Linked DNA regions of Lytechinus pictus. The protein of the gene in region 1 binds, or shares a complex with, the protein of each later gene. Links are inferred from orthologs where the notes say so. Each region holds a gene or a part of one and is shown in the gene's direction. Other genes may lie near its edges.

What was found. The genes of interacting proteins can lie anywhere in the genome.
Region 2: structural maintenance of chromosomes protein 5-like (region 1) and non-structural maintenance of chromosomes element 3 homolog share a complex: the UniProt entries of both Homo sapiens proteins name them as parts of the SMC5-SMC6 complex. The link is inferred for Lytechinus pictus from reciprocal best matches to the Homo sapiens genes SMC5 and NSMCE3.
Region 3: structural maintenance of chromosomes protein 5-like (region 1) and non-structural maintenance of chromosomes element 1 homolog share a complex: the UniProt entries of both Homo sapiens proteins name them as parts of the SMC5-SMC6 complex. The link is inferred for Lytechinus pictus from reciprocal best matches to the Homo sapiens genes SMC5 and NSMCE1.

The regions. Positions count from the first base shown.
Region 1 is NC_087249.1:22,656,804-22,664,142, forward strand, and holds the start of structural maintenance of chromosomes protein 5-like, read left to right. Parts: upstream 1-4,331; 5' UTR 4,332-5,339; coding exon 5,340-5,438; intron 5,439-7,244; coding exon 7,245-7,339. UniProt on the Homo sapiens protein: Core component of the SMC5-SMC6 complex, a complex involved in repair of DNA double-strand breaks by homologous recombination.
Region 2 is NC_087247.1:43,388,268-43,395,396, reverse strand, and holds the start of non-structural maintenance of chromosomes element 3 homolog, read left to right. Parts: upstream 1-4,103; 5' UTR 4,104-4,476; intron 4,477-4,503; exon of another isoform or gene 4,504-4,608; intron 4,609-7,129. Other genes in the region: NADH dehydrogenase [ubiquinone] 1 alpha subcomplex assembly factor 3-like, read right to left, coding at 1,774-1,865. UniProt on the Homo sapiens protein: Component of the SMC5-SMC6 complex, a complex involved in repair of DNA double-strand breaks by homologous recombination. The complex may promote sister chromatid homologous recombination by recruiting the SMC1-SMC3 cohesin complex to double-strand breaks.
Region 3 is NC_087261.1:31,457,235-31,465,212, reverse strand, and holds the start of non-structural maintenance of chromosomes element 1 homolog, read left to right. Parts: upstream 1-4,952; 5' UTR 4,953-5,067; intron 5,068-7,978. UniProt on the Homo sapiens protein: RING-type zinc finger-containing E3 ubiquitin ligase that assembles with melanoma antigen protein (MAGE) to catalyze the direct transfer of ubiquitin from E2 ubiquitin-conjugating enzyme to a specific substrate.

The DNA.
Region 1 (7,339 bases):
TACTCCAAAATCACAACAAAATGAGAATATTAAATGGCCAAAAAACCCCAGAAAACACGATCTCACTTCGCTACTATCATGACAATTCACACATCGTGACTGCACTCGACATCAGCACACTCGATTGTACCCGTACCCCGCACCGTACCCGTACCCGGCCGGCCAGGTTGGGCTTCACATGCACACATGTATCGTTCAACTACATGTACACAGTTGTGTGTTGCTGCCCTCTACGTTTGAAGATGTAACAGCACGATATCGTGGTCTTAAAATCCAAGATGGCGGATTGGGAAAAGACGTTGACTGATGATAACGATGTCCAAAAACCCCCAAAATTATCGATGAAATATCATTTCACCGTGAAATAATGCTAATAATATGAAAGGTGAGGATGTATGCATGCAAAATGGGTGTGTTAAAATATTTTATTCACCCGCATAGATCCGATTAGAACGGATTTTATTGTGTTGTTGGTACAGTAGCAGATACAAATTTTGACCAGTGCGAGTGTGCATGTAAATGTGTAAACGGAATTGTCACTTTTCCGTGTGTACAAAGTCTATGGGGAAACGGAATTTCCGTTTTCTGACATGCTGAAACGGAATTTGAGATTTTCTGAAACGGAAAATCACTGTCCCTATACATTACATGATATATATTTCAAATAAGATAAGCTCTGGATATGAAACTTACCAAACGATATGAAGCCAATTTCATTTCCTCTCTGTCTTTCTGGTACTTTATATCAATAATTTTTCTTGATGTCGAAGAAGGCATGAAGCTAATTCGCTAGTTTTCTCTATACGCACAGAGAGGGCGCGCGATATTATTTAATAAACTTGCTTGTTTACGTCAGATCAGCTGTAGCCTACTGCTAGTTGCGTTCTAGGCGCTCCGCATTTTTTTCGCTGTTCAGCGTTATTTTATGATGTAGCACCATCAGCGATTACACGTGAGATGCAACCTGTTGATTTTTTGGTACAATTTCCTATTATGTGCCGACGACTTGAATCTAGACTGTTCGATAGGAAAAATTCGCATTTTTGTTGTTTGATTGTTGTTTGCGTAATTTCCACCGCAGTATTAAGGAACGAATACCCGAAAGTCCCAGGCCTAAACAGTTTAAACATGCACAACTCAGTGACATGCAAATGAGAAGGTTGATGATGTCCATCACTCACTATTTCTTTTGTTTTTTATTGTTTGAATTATACAATATTTCAAATTTTACCAATTTGACATAAAGGACCAACTTAACTGAACCATATTAATGTTATAACAATGGTAATACCACATGTTCAGGGAGGAATAAAACTTTGTTTCACAGGACATAATGGAGAAAATAAGAATATTCCATATTTGATATAATAAAATACAAAAGAAATAGTGAGTGGATGATGTCATCAGTCCCCTCATCTGCATACTGACCAGGATGTGCATATAACTGTTATGTGAATTAAGCGAAACTTTAAAATGTCATAACTTATTTTAAATCCGATTTAGATGAAATTTTCAGTGTCATGCTAGTTGGATTTTTCTCCTTATCAAATTAACTTTTTGTTGGGGTGGACTTGTCCTTTAATCTTTTTATTTTAGAAAAAAAATAGGCGTACCTTTAAAATCCAATGTCAAGTATCCTGGGGCCCGTTTCTCAACACATGGACAAGTTAGTCATATTTTTATCCACCAACCACGGAGTTAGTTCCAATCTTACTAAAACTGTTTCTCGAAAGGCTTCCTTACTAGAATACCTTGATATCGATACTATCGGTAAAAAGAGCAGACGAGACGTAGCCTTAGTCACAAAATAGCACAATTTTCAAAAACAAAAATTATGACAAAATTGCAAATATTATGATGAATTGAGAAATAAATCTTTTCAAAATAATAGCACAGGTGAATTATGCATCATACATGCTTACACCATGAAGACTGGAGCATTCAATTGCAGAGAAAATTAAATTATGAATAATTCATTTCATGACTAAAAAATCACTTGTGGACGTTGAGATGGGTACCCCCGGGATACCCAATTTTAATAGTTTACGAAAGTAAACCATAACGGTTTTCTTTGTAAAATAATGATAATTATACGGACTTTTACGATTTCAAACGTCATCAAAATACAGATTAACGAAACATTTTTAATCATTGATACCGAAAGATACGCCGTCGGTGTCGGCGTCGTCGTCGTCGTCAACAATTGTGTTGTACACCCAATAACTTTCTATAGCTTCGAGGTGGGATCACCAAATTCATACCAGAGGTCCATCTCCTGAAGGCACAGGTCAAGTTCGAATATGAGTCAAATTGGAATATGGTCAAAGGTCAATGAACTTTCCATGACTGGCACTGTGATGTGTTGTACACATAATAACTTTGTACACCCAATAACTTTCTATAGCTTCGAGGTGGGATCACCAAATTCATAACAGAGGTCCATCTCCTGAAGGCACAGGTCAAGTTTGAATATGAGTCAAATTGGAAGAAGGTCAAAGGTCAATGAACTTTCCATGACTGGCACTGTGCTGTGTTGTACACATGATAACTTTCTATATCTTCGAGGTGGGATCACCAAATTCATACCAGAGGTCCATCTCCTGAAGGCACAGGTCAAGTTCGAATATGAGTCGAATTTGAATAAGGTCAAAGGTCAATGAACTTTCCATGACTGGCACTGTGCTGTGTTGTACACATAATAACTTTCTATATCTTCGAGGTGGGATCACCAAATTCATACCAGAGGTCCATCTCCTGAAGGCACAGGTCAAGTTTGAATATGAGTCGAATTTGAATAAGGTCAAAGGTCAATGAACTTTCCATGACTGGCACTGTGCTGTGTTGTACACATAATAACTTTCTATATCTTCGAGGTGGGATCACCAAATTCATACCAGAGGTCCATCTCCTGAAGGCACAGGTCAAGTTTGAATATGAGTCGAATTTGAATAAGGTCAAAGGTCAATGAACTTTCCATGACTGGCACTGTGCTGTGTTGTACACATAATAACTTTCTATATCTTCGAGGTGGGATCACCAAATTCATACCAGAGGTCCATCTCCTGAAGGCACAGGTCAAGTTTGAATATGAGTCGAATTTGAATAATGTCAAAGGTCAATGAACTTTCCATGACTGGCACTGTGCTGTGTTGTACACACAATAACTTTCTATAGCTTCGAGGTGGGATCGCCAAATTCATTCAAGAGGTCCATCTCTTGAAGGTGCAGGCCAAGTTCAAATGTGAGCCGAATTTGAATAAGGTCAAAGGTCAATGAACTTTCCATGACTGGCACTGCTGTGCTGTACACACAATAACTTTCTATATCTTCGAGTTAGGATTGCCAAATTCATACAAGAGGTCCATCTTTTGAAGGTGCAGGTCAAGTTCAAATGTGAGTTGAATTTGATTAAGGTCAAAGGTCAATGAACTTTCCATGACTGGCACTGTGCTTTGTTGTACACATAATAACTTTTTATATCTTCGAGGTAGGATTGCCAAATTCAAACAAGAGGTCCATCTCTTGAAGGTGCAGGTCAAGTTCGAATGTGAGTTGAATTTGATTAAGGTCAAAGGTCAATGAACTTTCCATGACTGGCACTGCTGTGTTGTACACACAATAACTTTCTATAGCTTCGAGGTGGGATCGCCAAACTCGTAACAGAGGTCCATCTAAGTCATATAGCATACATGTAGTTTTGACATGCAGTCTCTTCATGACTGCAATATGTAGGCAAGACAACGCTTGGCGTTTGCCTTGTTATAGTTTCTTTGTAGTACAATTATCATTGAATGCATTAACCCACTTGTTTTGTGATGTAATTTCAACCTCTATGATTGATTACGTAAGATTATAATTTTAAAATTTCTAGGCACTTTCGCATGTCATAGTCTACCCACGTGATGCCACTACGTCATTAAGAAAGAAGTTATGACAGGTTCGGAGGTGTCATAAATATTTAGTAAGATTGTTGTACCCGATCTTGGTAAAGAGGGCTGCGTGAAACGGTTAGCGGACAAGTAGCTCACTATGTCTGATTTAGTCAAGAAGTTAGACTTACGACGGTGTTGAGTAACGGGCCCCTGTGTGTAATGCCTCGTTCTAACACTACTGTTAGTATCCATAATCGATTATGACATTAGATGGTAAAGTTACTCCAAAAAATTAAAGAATTCAATTTAGATCTACCTTACTTTTAGCTAAATGAAAAACACTAATGGAAACTGACCACTCATTCAGTGAATAAGATTAGGTCTAACCTTGTTATCTGTTACTACTCCCTGTGTGGTGAAATAAGATTGGCAATGTTTGTCTGATTTTCTCTTGTTCTTGGGGACAAATGCTTAATTTTTATAACACAATCAGTTTCTTTACAACTATTCATCATATAACTTGTGTCTTAAGAGTGAATTTAATTCTTTTCATTATTTTTTCTAAATTATAAACAAGAGATTGTAAAATGACAATTATCTTGTAATTCTATTTTCCACCAATAGAGGGCCCTCGGTTAATATGCCCCAAAATTCAAATGTTTTAGTGCTCTGGTGAATACAAAAATGATCCCCAACTTATTAATGAAAAATGAACTGCAACTATGGAAAAAAAATTTTGGTTTTTTAAAAAGTGATATTTTTAATGATTTTTTTTAATGTTGTGTTGTATACTGCATAGATCTACTTGTAGATTCCCCACAGATGAAAAACTAATGGAAACTGACCACTCATTCAGTGAACAAGGTTAGGTCTATAACATTGTTCTCTGTTACTAGTCCCTGTGTGGTGAAACAAGAATGGCAATGTTTGTCTGATTTTCTCTTGTTCTTGGGGACAAAGTCAACGAACAAGAAAGAAAAGTAAGCCAAGCATTGCCAAAATTTCACTAAACACAGGGATTCCTAGTAACAAAGAACAAGGTTACATGTATATCTAGCAGCCATTCGCTCTCGCATTATGTCCGGACCCCCTGTCGAATGAAGACAATCCGCTAGCCTGTGATTGACTGACTTCTGTGCAAATTCAGTGCTGTTAAGTTTTTCTTTGCTTTGTTTTTTTATTTGTCATTTTTTAGACAATCCTAAATTTGTGAAAAAGTTTGCGAACTTGGAACAAAACCACAGATTTCTTTATTTTTAGCACATGTTTTTGGCAACCCTGCTTAGAATAGTTGACTTTGATATTTTGAGCTCTTCTAGCTGTTTATAAAAATGGCTGGCTGGTGATTATGAGTGTCAACAAGAAAATCTATATATAAAGTATATAAAGTAACATATCTTGTTCTCATTTTGTTTTCTCTATAGGACCTATGACTGCTGTGAGGTGTATCCAGGTCCCCATTTGAACATGATCATGGGTCCTAATGGTACGGGTAAATCCACCATAGTGTGTGCCATGTGCCTCGGTCTCAACGGCAACACTAATCTTCTCGGCAGAGCCAAGGATGTGAGTTTTCTTTCCAGGCTTGGTGGGTCTTTGTCCAAGCTGTGTATGGAGATTGAGTTGGTCGGGGATCCATAAAGAAGTTACATTACATCTAAAACTTGGTTTTTCTTTGTCTTGGTGATTCATTTTCAACAGGGAAGTGGAACATTCATTATGCACTTCATAGCCTGAAAAACTGTGCATACAAACATTTGTCATTACAGTGATGTCATTTTGAGGGATGCATTTTTAGTTTGACTGAGCAACTTGGGACTTTCAATTTATTTTAGCGTTCCCTCTGTGCAAAAGTGTGAGAGCTCTTTCAATTTCTGCTCTTTTCAATATTTTATCATTTTTTAGCTCTCTTTTTTTGTGATCACTCACACCTCTGGTTATACATGAAGAGCCAGTATAGTGTAATCGGTATATGACAGTAAAGGAAACACTACTGACCACCCAATGCTGAAGTTGGTGGCTGATGCCTTTTTGTCTCGTCCACCAGAGGTGAAGGCGAGACTTACGGATCCAAATGTCGTCCGTCCGTCACAAACCTTATGACACCTAACTCCACAACCATAAGTCACTTTTCAACCAAACTTGGATGTTAGATGGACTTGGGGGACCTGCATGTTAATGCTGTTGTCGGAGGTCACATGGTAAGGTCAAAGGTCATTTTCAGGTCAACGTTAAAGATTAAATGCAAGACTCTCTTATGACACCTAACTCCGCAACCGTGAGTCACTTTTCAACCAAACTTGGATGGTAGATGGACTGGGGGGACCTGCATGTTATGCTGCAGTTGGAGGTCAAATGGCAAGGTCAAAGGTCATTTTCAGGTCAACGTTAAAATTTACATGCAAGACTCTCTTATGACACCTAACTCCGCAACCATAAGTCACTTATCAACCAAACTTGGATGGTAGATGGACTTGGGGGACCTGCATGTTATGCTGCAGTCCGAGGTCACATGTTAAGGTTAAAGGTCATTTTCAGGTCAACGTTAAAGGTACATGCAAGACTCTTCCGACACCTAACTCCGCAACGGCAAGTCACCTTTCACCAAAACTTGGATTGTCGATGTAGTTATGGGACCTGCATGTCATGCTACAGTCGGAGGTCACATGATAAGGTCAAAGGTCATTTTCAGGTCAACGTTAAAGTTTCTGTGCAAGACTCTCTTATGACACATAACTCTGCAACCGTAAATCACTTTTCAACCAAACTTGGATGGTAGATGTACTTAGGGGACCTGCATGCTATTGTGTTGGGAGGTCACATGGTATGGTCAAAGTTCATTTTGAGGTCAACATTAAAGTTTATGTGCAAGACTCTTTTGACAAGTGTTATTCCATCCCAGTCATTTCACAATGAAGTTTTGATACAATTCTGTTGCATGCCCTCGCAAATCACAATATTTCTGGTTATTTTCATAAGTGGGCGAGACACGACATTGCTTTTGCCTTCTTACTGTATTTAAGTAAGAAACCGTGGATGTTGGTAAGATAAGACAGATGACTTCAGGTCCTCTCTGAGGGGCAGTTAATGTTTCCTCCTTCCTGTTAATATATTCATGCTGTGATCAGTGAGAACCCCTATGTGAGATTACTAACAAAGTCATAATAATTTTTTGAAGAGCCATTTTTTGCATTTTATAAACTTACTGCAGTATTAAACAGTACTTAGAAAATGCCAGTGTTGGAGCTCAGGTAATAATGTTTACTTATTAAAAATAAGTAACACCTTAAGAAAAGAGATTTTGGTCCTTTCTTTCTCAACACAGATAATGTTGGCTTGATTTATTTTTCTTTAAACATCTTTTCATTGCAGCTTGGTGAGTTTGTGAAGAGAGGGACCAACAGGGCAGAAATTGAGATAGAGTTGTACAACTCTAAGGGTCGTAACCACGTTATCAGACGGGAGAT
Region 2 (7,129 bases), on another chromosome or scaffold:
TCCTCAAGAAGTGTCAAGATTATTATCTGTATCAGTACTTAATTTATTATCTAAATTTTGAATATCTTTTAATAGCTGTTTCTTTACATTTTTTTTCTTTCTTGTTGCGTGTACAATAATCTATACAAGTACCAGTAATTGTGCACTTAAGAGTCCCATAAAATATTAGGGTTACATTCACTTTCTGAATGAGTTTGATGCGCAAGATTTGCAATGGACCGACCACACACTGATTCCTATATACCCCCTTCAAACTTTGTTTGGCGGAGGTATAATGCACTTTTCAATTATATTCCTGGCCCTGGGGGTCCCGGGACATAGCCGGGAATGTATAAGACTGTCCCTGGCCCACAATTTGAAACAAAATTTTGACAAACTTTACAAAATGGTCCCTTTTTTTTATACGCACTGTAGTTGCCGGTTCGACATATGATAGTTCTTATTTTATCCAAAAGATATTGAAATTTACCGTCATTTTGATATTAATTTTCTTAAACCCGGGCAATTGAATTTGAGAAATGCTTGCCCACACATCATTTCTAGTTGCCTCAGGCAAGCAGGTTTGTTGCACCCTGAGGACAAATTCTAAAGAATAGATCAATTAATGCAAGATAAATAAACGAATGAATGAATGGATAAACGAGGAAATATCTAAACATGAATAAATAATTTCATAAGTAAACACCTACAAAAGGCTACATGCAAGATTTATATCTAGATCTGAACTGGGTTCCAAAAGAATGATTTATATGTGTGAGGAACTCGATGCTGGCTCTAAATCACCAATTTTGAGGCTAACTGAAGGATGGATATGGTCTTATGGAGTGAAATCAGGATGGAAAGTAAGAAATTAAGCTTCTGATTTCTGGAATGGAACTAGACCAAAAGCTTCGGTCTCTGTTATGTTGGTTGTTCCGCTGAACTCCGTTGGCTCCACTCACCAAATACAGAGACCGAAGTTCTAGCTCAATCTGTACAGGGGACTCATGACAATGGCCATATGTTTATGTATTTAGTTTGGATAAAACAGGGAAGTGAAGTTGCGCGACAGCCGAAGTAAGTCACTGTTTTTTCCCCTTTTAAGTTTATTTTCCCCGTTTGGTGCATTTCAGGCCAAAACGGAATAATAATCTTGACTTTATTTTGGTACAGTTCTTTTTATATATTTTTATGAAATAAAGGCAAAAATCGATGAGCCCCGTCGGGGGGATTTTGCATTGTTAATCCCCTAATGGTGGCTGCACGATAGCGAGCCATCTGTGTATGAGGAGAAATAAAAAATAATAAAAATGTTAAAAAACTCCTCGAAACAGACGGCTGACAGCTGTCTAGAATGGAACCTGCACAAACATCAAGTTAAGACTTTTTGTAACGAGTCACAGACACAGGAATCAGGATGATTTTATAAATAAGACTGAGGATGAAAAAAATGTATTTGCAAATAAATATACCAATAAATGATTTAAAAAGACAACAAAAGACATCAGCAACATCAGCGCCTCAATCAAGCACACATGTCTTCCTTCAGTTAGGTGGCCACGCCAATTATATTATCGCGGTATGCAATTTCTGATCTACGCAAGTGAGCGGGTGATATCATCTTTCTGTGATAAATGTGTTCGAATTGTACATGGGCTAACTAACGTCATGGTCAATGAACAAAAATGTGGAAATAAATGTATTTACTCTTTCCTCCCGCTCCCGACTTTTCTACCAGCAAACAAGCAAATGATGGGGCCCAATATCAAACTTCAATACGAAATTGCAAATCACCTTTTGCCAGACGACAAGCTGGAAAGAAACTTCCAGTGGAAGAGCGCAGTCTTTTCGAGACTTCTGAACCCAGAGACAAAACTAGATGCCATGTTTAATGTTTAGCTGTCGAGTATACACCACAATACTATACCCATACTCGGAGATTGTTATGCAACGTCGATCAGGCGCGCGCGCGGGCCGCGCATAGGTGTGCTGCTCTGCGTTCTCATGTCAATTACCGGTATTCATTTTCTTTCTTTCTTTCATGTGCCTTGAAAATGTATCCACTAACAAAGTTAGATAAACAAGTCGCCGATGATTTTTTTCTTTGTTCTCCTGATCACTTCATAATCTTAATTTGTAAATATTAGTCAATTAAGTTGTTTATGCGATGCATAGTTTGTATGTTGATGATTTATTAATAAAAACATGACATGTTTATGTCGTAAAATATGAAAGTCATATTTAAGAGGTAAACAATCAAGTGGAATGACTATCTGCTGTCTCACCTGCATCACGCGATATAGTAGCAGTGCTGACTTTGAAAACTAATATAATTATTCACAAAAAACACCATTCATATATAATGATACAATACTATATACGATCATTGACATTTGAACTTGATCATGTGACCTAAAACTTGTCAGTGCACTTGATTACCCCTATATCCACATTTTATACATTATATGACAGCAAATATAGTAAGTTACCTCTAAAATAGCCAAAGTTCAATGACCTTAAATGACCTTTGACTTTGCGGTCATGTGACCTGAAACTCGCACAAGATGTTCAGTGATACATGGTTATACTCTTATATCCACGTTTTGAACTAGACCAACAGGCCTACACTTACAGAGAATTCAACAAATACGTCCAACATGGCCAAAGTTCATTGACCTTAAATGACCTTTGACCTTGGTCATGTGACCTGAAACTCGGACGGGATGTTCAAAGATACCTGATTACTCTCATGGCCAAGTTTCATGAATCAGATCCATATAAACTTTATTATGATGGTAATTCAACAGATACTAGCCAAAATTCATTGACCTTTGACGTTGGTCATGTGACCTGAAATTCGCACAGGATGTTCAGTGATACTTGATTACTCTTATGTCCAAGTTTTATGAACTAGACCAATAAACTTTCAAAGTTATGATGGTAATTCAACAAATTCCCCCATTATGGCCAAAGTTCATTGACCCTAAATGACCTTTGACCTTAATCATGTGACCTGAAACTTGCACATGGATGTTCAGTGATACTTGATTATATACTATTATGTCCAAGTTTCATGAATCAGATCCATAAACTTTCAAAGTTACGGATGGAAATTCAACAGATAGGCCTATATATAGGCCTACCCCCAATTTGGCCAAAGTTCATTGACCCTTAATGACCTTTGACCTTGGTCATGTGACGTGACACTCAATGATCAGGATCGATGTTCAGTAATACTTGATTAACTTATGTCCAAGTTTCATGAACTATAGGTCCATATATTTTCTAAGTTATCATGACGTTTAAAAAAATTAACCTTAGGTTAAGATTATGATGACATTTCAAAAACTTAACCTTAGTTTAAGATTTTGATGTTGATTCCCCCAACATGGTCTAAGTTCATTGACCCTAAATTACCTTTGACCTTAGTCATGTGACCTGAAACTCAGGCAAAATGTTCAGTAATACTTGATTAACCTTATGGCCAAGTTTCATGAACTAGGTCCATATACTTTCTAAGTTATGCTGTCATTTCAAAAACTAAAAATTATAGATTAAGATTTGGTGTTGACGCCGCCGCCTAAAGCGGCGCCTATAGTCTCACTCTGCTATGCAGGTGCCCGGTGCATGCAGGTGAGACAAAAATTGGGCGAGGCCTAGCTATATGACGTCAATTTAAAAAAAAATGCCCAAGTGGCACCCGTCGGATTCTTGAATTAGACACCATACACTACAACTTTCAGCAAAAAATTGTATATATACCGTACCCATAGAGATATATCTCTATGACCATACCCAACTTGACGGTTTTGCAATAATTTTGATCATATCTACCCGACTGTAATCTGGGCATTCTAGAAAGTACATTTTTTTCATAATGAAAACTAATATAATGCGAGCGCGAAGCACGAGCTGAAAATATTTGATATTCTGATCTGAAAAAGGGTTAATTTAAGCACTATTTCAAGCACTGTATAGGGAAATTCTGAAGGGGGAGTGTTCATACAAAACGTTCATTTTTATTAAATTTCTGTCATTTATCATACCTATCAGATTTCCAGGGGGTGCTGTCTATGGAAAATAACACACGTTTTGTATGACAATAAATTCCCGTTGTAATCGGCTTTCCATACTCGAGCTTCTCTCGATCTCGCGCGCTACCTCGAATTTTTCTCCAACTATCCACCGCGCCAGCGCCAGGTAAGGGGGGTTTTTCTCCGGCACACGCCGGGCCGGCCGGGGACGCAGGCTGGCAGCTAGCCCGCACCGTGCACCGTGTCCGTGACTGCATGCGCAAGTGCCACAACCAAGACACTTCTCTCTAGTCTCGATCTCCACTAGCATCTCAACTGTTCTATTCAATCAAAGTACTCTGACTCTGACCTGAAACCACCAAGGCGCAAGTCTTCATGAAACCATCTCTAACAGTACCGGTACGGTACCGTAATTAGTTTGTGCTGATCTTACACTTGGCCTTACTTTTCGCTCATTGAATTTGTAAGTTTTCTTCTATTTTTTTAACAGCAACTTTGTCTTGACTTTGCTTTGGCCTTTGGCTTGGGCCTGGCTTTGGACTGGCCGGGAAATCGGGCGCCCCTACGACTTTACGTTAATGATTTCAGTGCATGGGTGAGTGGACAATGAAATGTTTACTTAGTTTTAATGGATATGAGGTTCCGATGTTCAGGATGTTCGGATACTTAAAAATAAATTAAATTATAAATAAAGCCAAGGCGCAATTCGTTTGCCCTTGCTTGTCTGACTTTAACCCAGAGAGCTCCCGCCCGCACAGCGGGCAGGAGCCCAGAAGCTTACCGTGTATTTTACCATTGTCACCGGACTAGGGTGATTTATGGTCTAAATATTTCTCCAAATGAATTGTGAAAACAGAAAGTATACAATTACCATGATTATATGGATGAAGGTCTAACGAGTGGCAGATTCCTGACATCTGGGCACAGTCTGGAACCTCAAAAAAACGAAAAGTTCTCTCCTTCTACCCCGTCTCGATCGGCCATTTTTGTTAAAAATCGTAACAAAATGGCCGATCGAGACTGGGTAGAAGGAGAGAACTTTTCGTTTTTTTGAGGTTCCAGACTGTGCCCAGATGTCAGGAATCTGCCACTCGTTAGACCTTCATCCATATAATCGTGGTAATTGTATACTTTCCGTTTTCACAATTCATTTGGAGAAATATTTAGACCATAAATCACCCTAGTCCGGTGACAATGGTAAAATACACGGTAAGCTTCTGGGCTCCCGCCCGCTACGCGGGCGGGAGCTCTCTGGGTTAGTCTGACTTAAGACGATATCTAGAAAATTGGTGGCCCCGGCCCGGGGCCTGTCTCGCCCTCGGGTAGGAAAGAAATTAATTAGATGTAAACATCCCTAACAACCTCGGGCCACCTTGAGAGGTAGGTCTAGTCACGGCCAGGCCCGGCCCTGGGCCTGCCCTGGTCCACCGATTTGTAGATGGTAAACACAAATCTACCTCGAACCTGTCTCAGTCCATTTGCCAGCTGTCGCAAATTACGTCAAAGCGCAAAAATTTCCAGGTTCAAAAGAGAGGAAAAGTGTGACAAGCAAGAAGAAGAAAAAAAAAGAAATTAAAGAGAAAGCAGGAGGGGGAGAAGAAAAGGAAGAAGAAGAGAAATAAGGAAGAGAAGAAGAAGATGAAGAAGGACACAAAGAAGAAAAAAGGAGAAAGAGAGGAAAAAAGAAGAGAAAGGAGAAGAGGAAGAAGGGCAGAAGAAGAATTAGAAAAAAGATAGTAACAAGAGGAGAAAGAAGAAGAAAAAAGAACAAGGGAAGAAGGAGAATAAGAGGGGGAAGGAGAAGAAGAGGATAAAAGAAGAAGAGAAAGGAGAAGAAGAAGAATAAAGATAGGAGGAAGAAGAATAAAAGAAGAAGGGAAGAAAAAGTAGAAGGGGAAACAAGATGAGAAAGAAGAAGAGAAAAAGAAGAAGAGGAAGAAGGAGAATAAGAGGGGGAAGGAGAAGAAGAGGATAAAAGAAGAAGAGAAAGGAGAAGAAGAATAAAGATAGGAGGAAGAAGAATAAAAGAAGAAGGGAAGAAAAAGTAGAAGAGGAAACAAGAAGAGAAAGAAGAAGATGAAAAAGAAGGAGAAGAAGAAAGAAGAGGAAGGAGAATAAGAGGGGGAAGGAGAAGAAGGGAAAAAGAGAAGAGGAAGGAGAAGTCTTAAAAACAAAACCCTTGACAAGCATTCGTATCTGCGCGATTCTAATAAAAGATACGCAACGAGCACGAACTTTATGAATTTAGGGCATTTCATGTGACGGCCTCAAAATGCAGCCTTTCTCATCAAAATCCCCGAATCGTGTGCAAAGTGAATGCGTGCGCAGACATGGGGTATCATTTTTTTTCAATCTGAAAATGACTGCCCAAGGTTTTTTCAAGAAAATCCTATATTTTCTTTCATTTTTTAATGAGAAATTTGGTACATTTACTCTTAATAATGTAAGGAACATTATTAATTGAAAGATTTTGTGAAATAAGAAGAAATTCATGTTAAATCTTAACTCAAATTGTTAGGTGCGCAGACTTGGGGCCCACCATCATACATGTATGGCAAGTTCCCCCAAGTCTGCGCACACGCGTATCTGCGCGATTCTAGTAAAAGAAGATACGCAACGAACACAAACTTTACACATGCAATACATAGAAAGATATTCATTAAAGAATCCAACTCAAAATGGTGGAAAAATAATGAATTTGGGGCATTCCATGTGACGGCCTTGAAATGCAGCCTTTCCCATCAAAATCCTCATATTGTGTGCAAAGTGAATTGGTGCGCAGATATGGGTACCATTTTCTTTTTCAATCTGAAAATGAGTGCCCAAGGTCTTTTCCAAGAAAATCCAAGATTTCTTCCAAATTTTTATGAGATATTTTGTACACTTACTCATAATAATATAAGAAACATCTGAAAGATTTTGTGTAATAAAAAATAATTATGGTAAATCTTAACTCAAATTGTTAGGTTCGCAGACTTGGGTACCACCATCATACAGTGATAGTTAAACAGCCCAGCATTCCTCTTTTAGCATGTGTATACACATTTGAGTTACAATTACATCAGAGAAGCAAATCAACAAACAAACAACTAATGGAGTGATGAGAAAGTTTGCAA
Region 3 (7,978 bases), on another chromosome or scaffold:
GCAAGACCGATCGCAACGGCTTACAACATTGCACTACCGTTGTATGCGACCGTTCCCCTCGCAATCCCCCGTGCAACACTCGCATGTGATCGCACGAGCACAATAGGATCATAAGCGACTTACTCGTGCAACGGGTTTTACTGGTTGGTTTTGTTGTACGACAGCTGTTGCAACTGTGAAAGCCTCTGTGCGATCTTATGAGATGACTGGCGATTGATGCCTGTTGCAGCCTGTCGCACGACCAAAAGGTCGCAAATGATCGTACGTCAATTGTGAAAGGGGCTTAATAGGGGATCTTTCTACATTAATAATGCGAGCACAAAGCGCAAGCAGACAATTTTTGATATTGTGATCTGAAACTGGATAATGATTTGAATAGAGAACAAGTTGAATATCTGAATAAACATGCGCGTGTTTCAGATTTAGACCTAGAATCTAGGCATTCTACACCTCTTTTATCATGAAAAATCTAAAAAAGAGTCCATTTCAGCTATATATTTCAAGCACTTTGTAGGAAAATTGTGAGGTGGATATGGATCGCACTTAATAAAGAGCTGATAGTTTTTATTGTTAATTGAGTTTTGACATAGGACCGGGACATCCTTGGGACATGTCATATGAAAATGATGACTATCTTCCTATTCCTCTTGCTAAGCGCGAGATGAAACAAAAGAGACAACTTAATCGTTAAATTATTAATATCTTATTTATTAATGCCTAATGAGGGTGAGAAATCTGATGATATTATGGCCTGAAAACTGGACATTTCAAGCAATTTTGTAATTATGAATAGAATGCATCAGTCAAAATATTTTTTAACCATGAATGCGAGCGCAAATTGCGAGCCAATATCTTTGATAAACTGTCATGAAAATCAAAATTGAGACATACATAAATCGCCAATTAAAATGCGAGCGAGTAGCCAGCGCTATCTGATACGTTTTGACAATCAGACTTGATTTTTTTTCAAATTAAATGGAATACACAAAAATAAAAGGTACTTAATAAATCGAAATTTGCGAGCGCTCAGTGCGAGCAGAAAATTTCAATATTCAGACCATGAAGCTGTCACTTTTACAGAGCACTTTTTAAAAATCAGTTTGTAAATCACACAAAATAATGAAAGTTCGATTTCCGAGGTGAAATGTGTAATGTATATTGACTTCCAAACTTGATATTTAAGCTACATATTGAAAAATCACCTGACAGGCAATGCGAGCGCGAAGCGCGAGCGAAAATTTCATATAGTGACATGAAAGATTCTTTTTATTTTCCAAGTCTTCCCCTAATCTTATTTTAGTCACTTTGGAAAATTTGACAAGCCCCCCCCCCCCCAAAAAAAAAAAGGTTTTTACCCAAAAACGTAAGGTCATTTAGTCCAAAATACATGTAATATTTCGAATGTGAATGATGCATTTTTCTCCATCATAAAAGACCAAAAATAGTAGGGGGGACATTTGATATTGTGTCCCCCCTACTATTTTCGGTAGGGGGACACTTCCCCCCTGTCCCCCCTGGGATTTCCGCCCATGTGCGCGACCAAAAAAACACGTAAAAGGATGTCTTTTTCAAGATAGGGCACGTTACGTACGTAACGTGATAAGGGTGTCAAAACACAAAAATAATGAAAAAAGGGTATCTATTTCGCTAGGAAAGCTACGTGTTTAGGGTCTAATTTTGGGGGATGATAAAACAAAATTAAAATGCTGCATAAAGGATGTCCTTTTTGCCCCTACACGTCGTGTTAAGAGTCCCGATTTGCGTGAGGTGAGGAAGGTGGGGGCCGTACTAAAACAAATGTTGTGTAAATTACCCGGGGGGGGGGGGGCACTTCCATTGACGAGTGGATACCATGCGCGACCATGGGTCTCGAAAAGCACCCTAAACACGTAATTTCCATATTCTGAAAATGCATCCCTTAATAAGTATTGGCGTGTGAAACCCTACCCTTAACAAGTATTGGAAACAAAACGATACTCTTGGCAAATATTTCCTGAAATGAACCCTTAAACATGTACAGGAATGTTTTTTTGTTTTGTCACGGGTCCTTCGGACGTCAGTTTTACTTTGTATGTACTGTACATCATTTGGTTTAGTACGACCCCACCTTCTACATCACGCGCAAATCGGACTCTAAACACGTAGTGTTGGGGCAAAAACTAAAGGACATCCTTTATAAAACATTTTAATTTCGTTTTATCATCCCCGCAATTTTGACCATAAACACGTAATTTTCATAGCAAAATAGATACCCTTTTTTCATTATTTTTGTGTTTTTGACACCCTTATCACGTTACGTACGTAACGTGCCCTATCTTGAAAAAGACATCATTTTTACGTGTTTTTTTTGGTCGCGCATGGTATCCACTCGTCAATGTAAGTGGCCCCCCGGGGGTAAATTAGGTAAAACCGACGACCGACGGACCCGTGACACACCAATAAAATATCGCTTTATACTTGTTTAGGGGTTCATTTCAGGGAATACTTGCCAAGAGTATAGTTTTGTTTCCAATACTTGTTAAGGGTAGGGTTTCAGACGCCAATACTTGTTAAGGGGTGCATTTTCAGAACATGGAAAATACGTGTTACCCGTGGTCGCACATGGTATCCACTCGTCAATGGAAGTGCCCCCCCCCCCGGGTTACAGGGTAAGGTAGGTTTTCACTCACACGCCTATACTTGTAAAGTGATGCATTTTCAGAATATGGAAAATACTTGTTTAGGGTGCTTTTCGAAACCCCATGGTCGCGCATGGTATCCATTCGTCATTGGACCCCCCCCCCCCCCGATTCCATCCCAGAAGGAGAAACCAGTTCCACTGGACCAGTAAGACCAGTATAATTTTAACTGGTGACTCTGGAAATTGGAACATCGGTTTACTGGTCTAACTGGTCATACTGGTCCAGTTAAAATTTTACTGGTCCAGTTAAAAATTAAAGTGGTCTTGAATTACTGGAATTTTATACTGGTCTTGTTTCTGGTGGTCTCACTGGTCTTAATAATAATAATAATAATATTTGAAATTTATATAGCGCATAATAGTCAAAAGACTCTCTATGCGCTTTACAAAATATATTCAATAAATAATACATTAAATCTTATCTGAATCATACAATAAACCTAAACCTTAATCCTAAAATACTTAATACAAATTAGAACAAATTAAATCAATACATAAAGTTACATCATTAATGAAATGAAAACTTACAATATTTAACAACATAATATATTTATCATCATAAAATACTATTTTGAAAATAAGTGAGTTTTGAGCATTTATTTAAAGATGGGGAAAGATGGTGCAGTTCTTATATTTAAAGGTAGAGAATTCCAGAGTACAGCGGCAGATAAAGAAAGGGCTCTTTGACCATATGTATTTGTATTTGTGGAGGGAACAGTGAGAAGATGTTGTGAGGATGATCGAAGGTTACGTCTTCACACTGGTATCCAATTTAAGCGGGTCTTTACTGGTATTTTCTCTACTGGTCTGACTGGTCCTCAAACTGGTCGAACTGGATCAATTTAATGTGTGTGTGTGTATTTGAGTTTTGTCAGACGTGTATCAATCAGATATGATTATAAACGTCTGGGACCGACCTTTAACGTCACCATCCGAAAGACGTGACCAGGGATCGAACCTCGAATCTCTGCATCAATTTGTAACTTCCCCACATAGCTTGGATTACAGGCGCACGCCACAACGCCCAGTTACATGCATTTGGTTTGTTATATACCATGGTCAGTGAAATGTGATGGAAAAGATGGTTAGTAAATTAATCTTTCTGCTGTTATTTTAAATGTGATATATGAAATTACACATTTTCATTGTGAATTAGTTCACACACTTATTCAGAAAGTTTTTAAACAACAATGAGTGCCATTGCAAGGATATTCCATTCTAAATCCTGATTTTTCTTTTAAAAACAGGAAATATGCAAATGAGGTAAACCACGTGATCAGCATCATCAGAATTACTGGTATTACTGGTCTTGACCAGTTCAATTTCAAACAATTTTACTGTAGACCAGTTGACTATATCAGAGGAATATATCTTGCTCTTAATCATAATTAAAGGAAATAATTATATTTCAATGATAATGTTAATACTTGATAATTATGATAATGTTAATAATAATAATTACAATATCAATAACAATGATAACAGTAATAAGAATGATAACAACAATGATCATAATAATCATAAAAATAATAATCATGATAATTATAAGAATGATGGTAACAATCGATAACGATAATAACTTTCTCTGAATTTCAAGATTCATTTTCCATAATTCGTCAAATGATCTGACTTGAAATAAAATCATTATTTATCGGACCAGTAACACCAGTTTGATGAAAAACAATTTAACTGGTATTACTTCTTTGCTTCAACTGGAATGCAATTGTTTGAACTGGTGTCCAGTTTATTTTTACTGGTCCAGTTAAAAATCAACTGGTCCAGTAAACATATACTGGAAACCAGTAAAAATCTACTGGAAACCATTTATTGGACCAGTAACACCAGTTTGATGAAAAACAATTTAACTGGTATTACTACTTTGCTTCAACTGGAATGCAATTGTTGGAACTGGTCTCCAGTTTATTTTTACTGGTCCAGTTAAAAATCAACTGGCCCAGTAAAAATATACTGGACACCAGTAAAATTCTACTGGAAACCAGCAAAAATTCTTACTGGTCTTACTGGTTTTTCCTTCTGGGATTTTAAAAGTATTTGTTTTTTACAATAATATCTTGACTATCAATTGGACCTCGTGGTCTTTAAGAAGCTGCATATTCAAAGATAGCATGAAATTCATCACCAATACTGTCACTTTTACACAGAGTGCAATATTTTTCATCATAGCATGTGTCGTTTAAAAAACCAAGGGTCGGCCATGGGGGCGGGGGGGGGGGGAATGCGTCATACATTGGGGGAAATCCCCTTTTCAGATGACGACGGAGATGGCAGCATAAAGTTGTAGGCAGGTTGAACTAGGAGTGGGAATTCGAATTTCGAAACCTTATTTCAAGTCAAGTTATAAATTCAGAGATTTTGAAGATCAATAAGTAAGTAAACAAACTTTGTCGCTGGACTGTAATGTAAAGCTTATTTTAGGTAAGCCCTTTATTGTACCGGTATAGCGTTATTTGGATTTACTATCCTAGTTTATTGAACTTAAGTCACGTTAAGTTAACCATGGCGTGCCATGATAACTCACTGTCACTGACCATGAATGATGACAGTCTTGACGCTGCAGCACCCGCTTCGCGGGCCGAAGCTCCCTGCCGAGCTGCCTGGGCCGTGCTGGGCATGCATTGCTGGGTTAGTCACTTAGTGCGTTATTATAACCTTGTTCGTACTCGTAGGATAAGTGGGTTAGTGTAGAGCTAGGCGCTAGTGTAGTTTCGCACCTCCCCGAATAATGGTTTTCAAACATTTTTTGAAGATACCATAGGCCTAGGCCTACTTTTTATAGAAAAACTCGCTCTAATTCTTGCACTTCCCTAGACACTAGGTCTAGGTGGTACGTACCGTACGCGTACTGACTGCTTATGTGCAGCGCTGAGCTTGATCAAGCGACCGAGTGATTCCGAAATAGGTGTAAAACTTTGTAAAAAAAGTGTCAAAACGGCAAATATTCAACTTCTACTGGACTTTGGAGGCTCAGATGCAAGTATTTTAGGTTGTGAATTATTTAGGGTGAGATTGTACATGTTTGAAAACCATTAAACGGGGAGGTGCGAAACTACACTAGCGCCTAGAGCTAAGTTGTAGCTTGTCGCGGCCCCGGGGGGGGGGGGGGGCACTCAGTATATAATGCATAGTGGGTATGTGCCGCGGAGGGGACCCCCATTTTTACACTCAAATTTCCGTTCCAAGGCATAGCATTTTTGTCTTATTGAGAAAAAGAACAAAGAAAGCCGCTCCAAAGCATAGCATTTTCTTCTTATCGAAAAGCGGCCGCAGAGCGCTGTCCGACCATCGCCTCTGCGCGAGGGCACTTGACGGCCGGGCTGCCAGGCTAGCTGCATCATGCACATCATGCATACGCACTCACACGCTGGCGATCCGTTCCAAGGACCCCCGTTTTCACAAACATTTGTAGTTCCAAAGCCCGTTCCGAGGACCCTCCTTTTTACAATAAGCCCGCTCCAAGGCCCCCGTTTTTTGTCTCGCCCGCGGCACACCCCTACCACTTTTTTGGTCGAGTGCCCCCCCCCCCCCCCCCCCCCCCCCGGGGTCGCGGCAGATCCGGTGCCTGGCCTGGCAGCACTCTTAGTCCTACTCGATACTCCTACCTAGCCTGGAGGCGTCTGGGGAGTAAAAGTCATCTACTCTAGTCTCTACGTAGACCAAAAGATTCGGTCTCTGTTATGTTGGTTGTTCAGCTGAACTCCATTGCCATTGGCTTCACTCACCAAATACAGAGACCGAAGTTCTAGCGCGATCTGTACAGGGGATCAATGGCCATATGTTTATGTGTATTAAGTTCGGATAAAACAGGGCAGTGAAGTTGCGCGACAGCCGAGGTAAGTCACTGTTTTTGTTCCTTTTAACTTGATTTTCCCCGTTTTTTGGCAATTAATGGCTAGAGGGAATATTAATTTGCATTTCGGTCGCGTTAATTTTCAAAAGTTTGATTCATTAAAGACAAAAATTGAAGAGCCCCGACGGGGGGATTTTGCATTGTAAGTCCCCTAATGGTGGCTGCACGATAGCGAGCCGTCTGTGTATGAGGAGAAATTTTAAAAATAAAAAAATGTTAAAAAAACTCCTCGAAACAGACGGCTGCCAGCTGTCTAGTCTCTACGTAGTCTTAGTAGTAGAGTAGATGACTTTTACTCCCCACTGACGCCTGGTTCGCTTACGCATTGGTCTATTCACACTGTAGGTTTTCCCACGGTAAAAGTAGAGCTAAATTATTTGGTAAGGATAACTAAGTTTTCCCCCCAAATTTAATATGTTTGTATATATTCCTTCAATAAATAGTAGGATGGGGGGTTCGGGTGTCCGGACACTATATTTTTGAAGCCCTTCTTTTTTGTCTTTGGATTACACTAAAAAATATGAATTCAATACATGTAGTTGTAATTTGTAATCATCTTCTATTTTGTTCTCTATAATATTTCCTAACATTTTGTACCAAAAATTGATGAAACTTCACCTGTAAAATTTTCCAAATGACTTTCTAAAATTGATCGTCCGGACACACAACCTGTCCGGACACACAACAACTGGGTGTATAATATGAAAAATAATTAAGACGAGCACGAGCGTTGACTTACCAAGTCTGTTTTGGTCGCCATCTTGATGTCTTTGTTATTGATACCTAGATACCACACGTGTGTATAGCTGCCAATTTGAATTTTAAAAATACTTGACTCGGCCGATAAATATCATGAATCGTAAAATACTTGCCTCGGTTGATAAATATCATAATGCAGCGCGAGGATAGCCGGGTAGAGTGCTCAACAGTTGGGAGCGGAACATTATTATTTTTTTTGTTTCTTAACATTAGGAGTGGGCTATACATGGGTCAAAAATACTTTTTTTGTAATTTCAATATGACAACAGTTTTTTTTTATTCCTTGTAATGTATCTCAACATGAAATGATAATATTTTTTGTCTCGAGTCCGAGAAAAAAGTGTGCCGGGCCAAAATCCAAAATGGCCGCCAAACCCCCCAAAATCACAGTTTTGGCCACAACTTCTTTATTTGGTGGTCTTTTTCTCTGGTTTTGGTGTCTATTCATATGTATTTGGGGGCAGGCAATTTGTTTTTCCTATGATTAGTACTTTTAAACCATTATTTGTAGAGTTAAAAGGTAATTATACCTAAATTTTCCAATTATTATAGTTTTTTTCAGCCAAAAAGTAGGTTTTATCGTCCTGGGGTTATTGGATATTAGATGGTACGAGGTCAACAATAGAAAGCAGCTTCATATAGCTATATTGCTTTTATTCCTCTACTTTGGG